Linked DNA regions of Diceros bicornis minor. The main gene of each other region encodes a partner of the protein of the gene in region 2 in a complex. Links are inferred from orthologs where the notes say so. Each region holds a gene or a part of one and is shown on either strand. Other genes may lie near its edges.

Region 1 (3,752 bases), on a different chromosome or scaffold from region 2:
GGCACAGAGAGGTTAAGTCTCTTGCCCTAGGTCACACAGCTGGTAAATGGTAGAGCCAGGATTTGGATCCAGGTAGTGTGGCTCCGAAGTCTGCACCCTTAGCCACTATGCACAGGATAAGTGGGAGCAAATCAGGCAAGGCCATGTTGGGTAGCAACTTTGGATTTTACTCAATGTGAGGTGAGAAGCCACCAAAGGATTTTAATCTGATTTACATTTTAGCGGGATCACCTTGGCTACAGACTGGGTGGGGTGGGGAGCGGGAGGGAGTGTGTAGGGTAGAAGCAGGAAGACTAGTTAGGAAGATCTGCAGTAATTCAGGCAAGAGACAATGGTGGTTTGCCTCAGGATGATAGCAAAGGAGGTGGTGTTCCATGCCGGTATTTTTTTAAGATAAAAATATATTAAAAAAATATATAAGAACACACATGACACCAACATAAACGCATATCCTGTGTTTGTGAGTGTTCAGGCACTGGGCTAGATGCTTGAGATACTATAGTGAACAAGACCACAGGACCTAGTCCCTGTTCTTGAGTACCTCACAATGTTGCCAGGCAGTTACATATATGAATATAATACAAAGGGATGAGTGTCATAAGGAAGGTATGAGTGAAATGCTATGGGTACCAGGAGAGGAATCGATTAATTCTGACTACTGGGGATCAGAAGGGGGGTGGTGGTGGAAAGCTGATTGTCAGAGAAAGCTACAGAAATGGAGGTGACAGTTGAGCTGGGTCTTGACAGCAGTCACCATGTAGATGGAAGACGGGATGGGTGTTGTACAGAAAGAGCATTTCGAGCAGAAGAACCAGCAGAACCACCAAAGGTAAAGGAATCAAAGCATCAAAAGTATATGTTGTGACCAGGGGATGGGTTGGGGCAGGGCATCCCATGAAGATGGAAGAGGCCATTTTGTGAAGGGCCTTGTAGGTGAAGCCAAGAAGTTCAGATTTCAGCCTGTTGGCAATGAGAAATGATCATACGGCTCAATCATTCAGTCATTCAGCCAACCAACAAGGCAGCCACTTTTGTTGAAGACCTGCTATATGCAGACACTGCATTCGGTGCTGACAGTACAAAGGTGAACATGCTCAGTCTGGAGGGAAAACACGATGTGAAAAAACAGACGATCTGAGTATGCTCCCTTAACCCTGGGAATGAAATGGTCAATTTTATTTTGGAACAAGTATGGAGGATGGATTGAAGGCATTCAAGCCTTAATGTCGGGGGACCAGTTGGCTGTGATGGGCAGGACCAAAGCCAACAGATTTCAGTGGCACAACATGTTGACTAAAATAGATGTGCTTAGTGAGGAAACATCTGAGGATGACGCTTATGTTTCTGGTTTGAGAGACTACCTGGGTAGTGACACTCTGCCAAAGTAAGAAAGGCAAGGAAGAAGACTGGTTTGGGAGGAAACTGATGAATTCAGTTGGCAAACTGTTGAGTCAAAAGTGCCTGAGGAACCAACAAAGGAGACCGAAGAGGAGGATGACAGATGAAGATGAAGCAGCAGGAAAAAGTAGGATTCAAGAAGAGAGCAAAAGGTGGTCAACATTGTCAAACACTGCAGAAAAGTTCTTTTGGAAGAAGCACCTTTAATTTTCCAGTGTTTTCACCCACTTATTTCTCCTGATCCAAAAGAATGTCACCGTCAGGAAAGTCGACTTGAGAGGACCTATAAATCTAACCAGCATGCCATCCTGTACTTACCTGCTCCCCCACTGGAAACTTAGGGATAATGCTGTCTGATGGAAGCAAAACAGAAGCCTAAAAGGGTGGATGTGGGCCACATTTTCCTTGAGTTGAAGATTAAATTTATTTAATTAAATGTATTTGTTTAAAAGATCTGTCCCTTAATTGTAGGTTACTTGGAGAAATAAAGGGAATAAGAAATGATGCACTGTGTTAACAGAGGGTCTTATCATCTCTTCCAGAGATATTAACCCGAATCCATGCATGGGCTTCAGGGAGCCTATGAAGACCCTGAATTTGTTTGTACGATGTGTATGTACATGAACATGAACATGTGTGTTTTTTAGGAGAAGGTTCCGTAGCTTCCATCAGATTCTAAAAAGTGTTCATGGTTCAAAAACAACAGGTAAGAACCACTGCCTTAGACCGTCTAAGGATTATCTGTGACTGCTGTCATCCATAGCTAATTGAGCGCAGTTTGCAAAGCTTAGCGAGAAGCTGTTGCAGGAGGACGGGCACGAGTCATGTAAGTCAGATACTGACGAATTGGAAGCACAGTGAACCCGCACTGGCTCCCCACCAGCTTGGCACAGCTTGCTCATAGCAATCTGACATTTAGGTAGAATCTTGAGGAGCTGGACAGAGAATTCCAAACTCTTGAGAAGGAGGAGTCCAAGTTGCTTCCAGGGGTGAGGATGCTTTCTAGAAAACACACAACAGATGTCCTTTTACCACCTGGCTGTCATTGTTCACCCTTCCTCCACTGCCCAGGCCAAAGCACCAGCATTCCACACCTCAAGCCGCACAAACTTCGGAAGCTGCCTAAGTTTTTGATGAGCTGACTTAAAAAGCAGAATCCAGTTCCAGGGAAGAAAGGGAGAGAGTAGAGAAGAAATTGCTGAGGAAGTAGATGGCTCTGGTCCAAGTGGAGCCCACCTATCATCGCGAATCACATTTACTCTGAATTCATAATGTGAAATCCCCATTGGCGTGCTAAGGAGCATGCATGCTGAACTGAACTGAACGGGACAATGAGACCACGTGTGATGAGGCGTAGAACTGGACCAATCTAACTGGAGATGAATGGAAAAGCATTTTTGAAGGATGACAGGAGCCTGCCTAGAGCAGGAGTTCCAAAATGGTCATCACAATTTACTAAGCAGGTAAATACAGAGTAGGCACTTGATAAACCACTGACTACTGCCCCACCCCCTATCCTCCAAAAGACTCCTTGCGTGGTTGGCTTTTACCCTCCTCTCAGTCATTTTCACTGTTCTGAGTCAGACTTTTTCTGGGGTGTTCTGTTGCTGAGCCAGATCATAGAATGGCATATTGACATCAAGGTGAAGAAGCCAGTTAGCAGGAGTGCCAGGTGAAACACTGATCCAGGGAATAGAAGACAGTCTGCAGATTAGGGAAAGGACTGGGTGGGCCATGGGGCAGAGAAGCCGGATAACCGAGACACATCACTGAAAAGACTAGAGCAGATGGGTGATCAGAGAGAGAAGCTGAAAGGCAAGCAAAGCCCTCAGAGATGAAGCACAAGGCGGGCCTGTCTTGGCTCAAGTCACAGTGACGTTGCATGTAGCTGGCAGCATTCTTCTTTTGCATGGCGAGGGCTGGCATCTCTCATGATGTTGGGCACAGGTTTTCAATGCCATAGGATGATGCCACATAGCTTTCACTCTATCGCTGGTCAGCAACTTACCTTCTGGAGAGACCAGGTGGCATAGTTAGAAGAATATAGACTCTGAGGCTTGGCAGACCTAAGCTCAAATCCCAGTTCCACCGTTTGCTAGCTGTAAAACCTTGGGCAATTTAATTGGCTTCAATTAACTTCTTTGTGCATTGGTGATAATATCACCTCAGAGGGATGTTGTGAGGGTTAAATGAGATCATGCATGTAAAGTGTGTGTGATAAGAAGTAGGTATTACTAATATTAACAATAATCTTCTTCTCAGGTTCCAAATACCCACAGCCATTGTTACAACCACCTTACCCCTTCTGCAACCTCCAGATCTTACCCCTAGCTCTTCCTCAGGAAAAAGTTGGA
Region 2 (3,752 bases):
AAACACTAACCCCTTCTTATTTTATAGTCTCTCTAACCAGTGAGGAACTTTTCAAACTCTGACCTATAAATTCTTAACAATATTAATAGACTAAAAGATATCACATTGACGGACCTTCCTTTTCCTTAGTTTATAATCATTTAACTCTTCTTCATCTGTGATCTTCTGTTGAGGTGGAGGTGGGAGAAGCTCAAGTTCTCTTTCTTTAGCTTCTCTTAAGAGTTGTTCTGCAGTTATCTGTACCTCAGCCGGGGCTTTGTTTTTCACCTTTTAAGACAGAAGACATTTCTATTTTTAGCAGATGATCTTCACACAAGGTTTAGGAAACAAACATTTCTTAGGATGTGAATTTTATAAGTATTATTACAAGATGCCCTTTTTGTATGACATGTTCCCATTTCTCTACGAAACTAAATAGAAAAAAAATTATGTTTTCTATCTTATGCATGGTATTTATTACAAAGCCATGGGTAAAAGTCTTAAGAGAAAAGGTAGCAAAAATAGCAAGTTTTCCCTTTTAGATTAGTATAATAATAAACTTTGAGACTGCCTAGGTACAACTGTCACCAGAGGTTTTGTTTTATCAAGATGTATACCATTTTTTATCTAGCATTACAACCTCTATTTACAGAATTCTTCAACTTATGCCCCACATGGTTAATTGTACTTGGTTTTTCATGGCATTCCAAGTCAAAGACAATATTCAGTAAGTTCCCATCATTAGACTGTAAGCTTCTTGAGGTCTTAGAGCTGTGCTGTCCAGTATAGTAGCCATGAGCCACATGTGGTGAGTCCAAATTGAGATGGGCTGTAAGTGTAAAATTCATAGTGGATTTTGAAGACTTAGTATGAAAAAAAGAATAAACTACCTAATTAAAATTTTTAATATTGATAACATGTTGAAATGACAATATCTTGGATACACTGGGTTAAATAAGATATGTAATTAAAATTAATGTCACCTGTTTTGACTTTTGTGTGTGTGTGTGTGTGTGTGTGTGTGTGTGTGGTGTGTGTGTGTGTGTGTGTGTGTGGGAGGAAGGCTGTTCCTGAGCTAACATCAGGGTCAACCTTCCTCTATTTTTTGTATGTGGGATGCCTGCCACAGCATGGCCTGATGAGCAGTGTGTAGGTCCGCGCTCGGGATCTGAACCTGCAAACCCCGGGCTACCAAAGTGGAGTACACTCACTTAACCACTCTGCCACAGGGCTGGCCCGTTTTGACTTTTTAATGTAGCTATGAGAAAACAAAATTACATATGTGACTCACACCATATTTCCATTGGACCAGTGGTGCCCAATACAAGTTTATGTAACTGAATTATAAAAAACATTAATTATTTAATGCCATGTGTAGAATAATGATGATGATAATGATGACAGCTCATATCTAATGTGCATTAACGGCCAGACACTATGCTATGTGCTTTAGATGCATCATCTCTGGGAGTCATCCAAATGGATATGTAAAGGACAAGCTCAAGAGAGCCCTCTGGGCTGGAGAAACAGACTGGAGGAAGAGTATCTGTAAAGGCTCAGGACAAAGCCTGTCACCTATTAGCCACTCGGTAAGTATCAGCTACGGATGCAAATATCAGATAATATCAAATTTATTGTTTAATGAACTTAAATTATGCCTCTACATAACTCTTGTCATCTACTCTCATTCCGTCCACTCTCAGCTGGGTTAACTCCTACTCAGCCTTCAAGTCTCGGCTTAAATGTCACTTCCTCAGCAAAATGTACTCTGGAGACCCCCTCACACAACTTTCATTATTCCACGGCCTACTCTACTTTGCCTCAGTAGCACTTGGTAAGGCTGCAATTTTACACTTACTCGTGTCTTAAATTTGAGTACTGCTCGTGGCCCGCATTAAAGCGTAGCTCCCCAGCGCCGAGCGCACTGCGTTTCTCGGTTCATGTTTGCTAAATGACCCCAATCCTCCGTCCGCAAACACAACTCCCCAGAACGAAGGCCATGCGGGTTGCTCCGTGGTGACAAGAGCCTGCGGCCCACCGCCGGCTGACCCTTCCTCTCCTTCTCTCCCTCGGCCCCGCACCGGGTGGGCCTGCGCCCGGGACAACACTCTCCCGCCCCGGGCACCACGGGGGTTCAGGCAAGCCCCTCTCCCAGGCCTCCTCTCACAAGGCCCCTCGCTATCGCCTACCTTGGCCACTTTGGGAATCCTCTGCTTCCCAGCCGCGGTGGAGGCCGCCATGGCTGCAGCAGCAGACCTCGGGCGACCCCTGGACCCCAGAAACCAGCCCCCAAAACTCAACGACTCTCCAAAGCTTTCTGACAACAAACTGGAGCCTGGAACCGGAAGCGGAACTGACTGGGGGTGACCTTTGACCTCCAGCACGCACCGTGACGGAGGCAGCGTCGTTTCCGTGGTAACCGAGCTGCGCGTCCTCCTTGGAGCCGGGGGTGGAGCGCCGCGTCCGGGAATTGCGGTTGAGGTAGGTAGCGCTGGCCTGCCCTGCAGGGACACTCTTACAGGGTCTAGGGCGTCAGGGGCGCGTCCCCAGGTCAGTCTCCAGGACTGGGATGACCGTGCGAGGACGGGTGTATCTGTCGAGCTGTGGCGCCCGGCAAAGGGAGTGGGAACCAAGCTCCGGGCCGGATGCTCGAGGGCTGGCGAAGATCGGCAGGCCAGAAAACTAGCATTCCCAGCATGCTGAGGGGGCAAGGTGCTGCGCTCCTAGGCGGCCGGCGCTGCGTTGCATTCTAGGCTTTGTAGTCTCTGAGGTCCACTCCCCTTCTGCACACTTGTGCTCTAATAATTAACTCTAAGGTTTGTGATTAAAAATAACGGACGGTGTTTTAAAACCAGATAATAGGGAAAAAAAATAAGTCAGCAGAGTACTAGCAAACCAGCCAGACTTGTGGTCGGATAAACAGATGTTTAAATTCTGAGTGCCTTAATTATGTAAATTCTCTTGGCCTCAATGTCCTTAACTGTAAGACGAGGGTAATAATATCCATTTCACCAGGATTAAAGAGAAAACCTATGTAAAGTGCTCAGTAAATTTTAGCTGGTGTAATTCTTGTCCTGCCTACAGAAACAGAAAAATTAATTATCTGCAAGCAAATGGTTAAGAGAAAAAAAAAAAAGTCTTTATTTTTTAGAGCAGTTTTAGGTTCACAGCAAAATTGAGTGAAAGGTTCACAGAATTTTGTATTTCCCCAGCACCCCCCCACACCCTCCCAACTCCCACAGCCTCCCCACTATCAACATCCCCCACCACAGTGGTACATTTGTTATAGTCGATAAACCTACATTGACACGTTGTTATCACCCAAAGTTTGTAGTTTATGTTAGGGTTCACTCTCCGTGCTATGCATTCTATGGGATTTGACAAATAATATAATAACATTGATTCACCATTAGAGTATGGTAAAGAATAGTTTCACTGCCCTAAAAATCCTCCGTAGTCTGCCTGTTCATCCTTCCCCCCACCCCTTTGCCCCCTGCAATGACTGATTTTTTTTTATGATCTCCGTAGTTTTTTGCCTTTCCAGAATCATATCATTGGAATCATGTAGTATGTTGACTTTTCAGATTGGCTCCTTTCACTTAGTAGTATGCATTTAAGCTTCCTCCATGTCTTACATGTCTTGATAGCTCATTGATTAAGAGAATTCTGACAGCTGCAAGTCTCTTTTGGTGTTTGGAAGAAATATATTTATATGTTTAGGTATGTAGAAATATGATGTCTACCTTTGCAGATACTGCTTTCGAAAAAATTTT

What was found. The genes of interacting proteins can lie anywhere in the genome.
Region 1: CRNKL1 (region 2) and RBMX2 share a complex: the UniProt entries of both Homo sapiens proteins name them as parts of the minor spliceosome. The link is inferred for Diceros bicornis minor from reciprocal best matches to the Homo sapiens genes CRNKL1 and RBMX2.

What each region holds. Positions count from the first base shown.
Region 1 is NC_080781.1:119,060,100-119,063,851, reverse strand, and holds the start of RBMX2 (RNA-binding motif protein, X-linked 2), read right to left. Parts: upstream 2,642-3,752; coding exon 2,635-2,641; intron 1,752-2,634; coding exon 1,717-1,751; intron 1-1,716. UniProt on the Homo sapiens protein: Involved in pre-mRNA splicing as component of the activated spliceosome. As a component of the minor spliceosome, involved in the splicing of U12-type introns in pre-mRNAs.
Region 2 is NC_080758.1:46,552,279-46,556,030, forward strand, and holds the start of CRNKL1 (crooked neck-like protein 1), read right to left. Parts: upstream 2,320-3,752; 5' UTR 2,220-2,319; coding exon 2,169-2,219; intron 268-2,168; coding exon 115-267; intron 1-114. UniProt on the Homo sapiens protein: Involved in pre-mRNA splicing process. As a component of the minor spliceosome, involved in the splicing of U12-type introns in pre-mRNAs.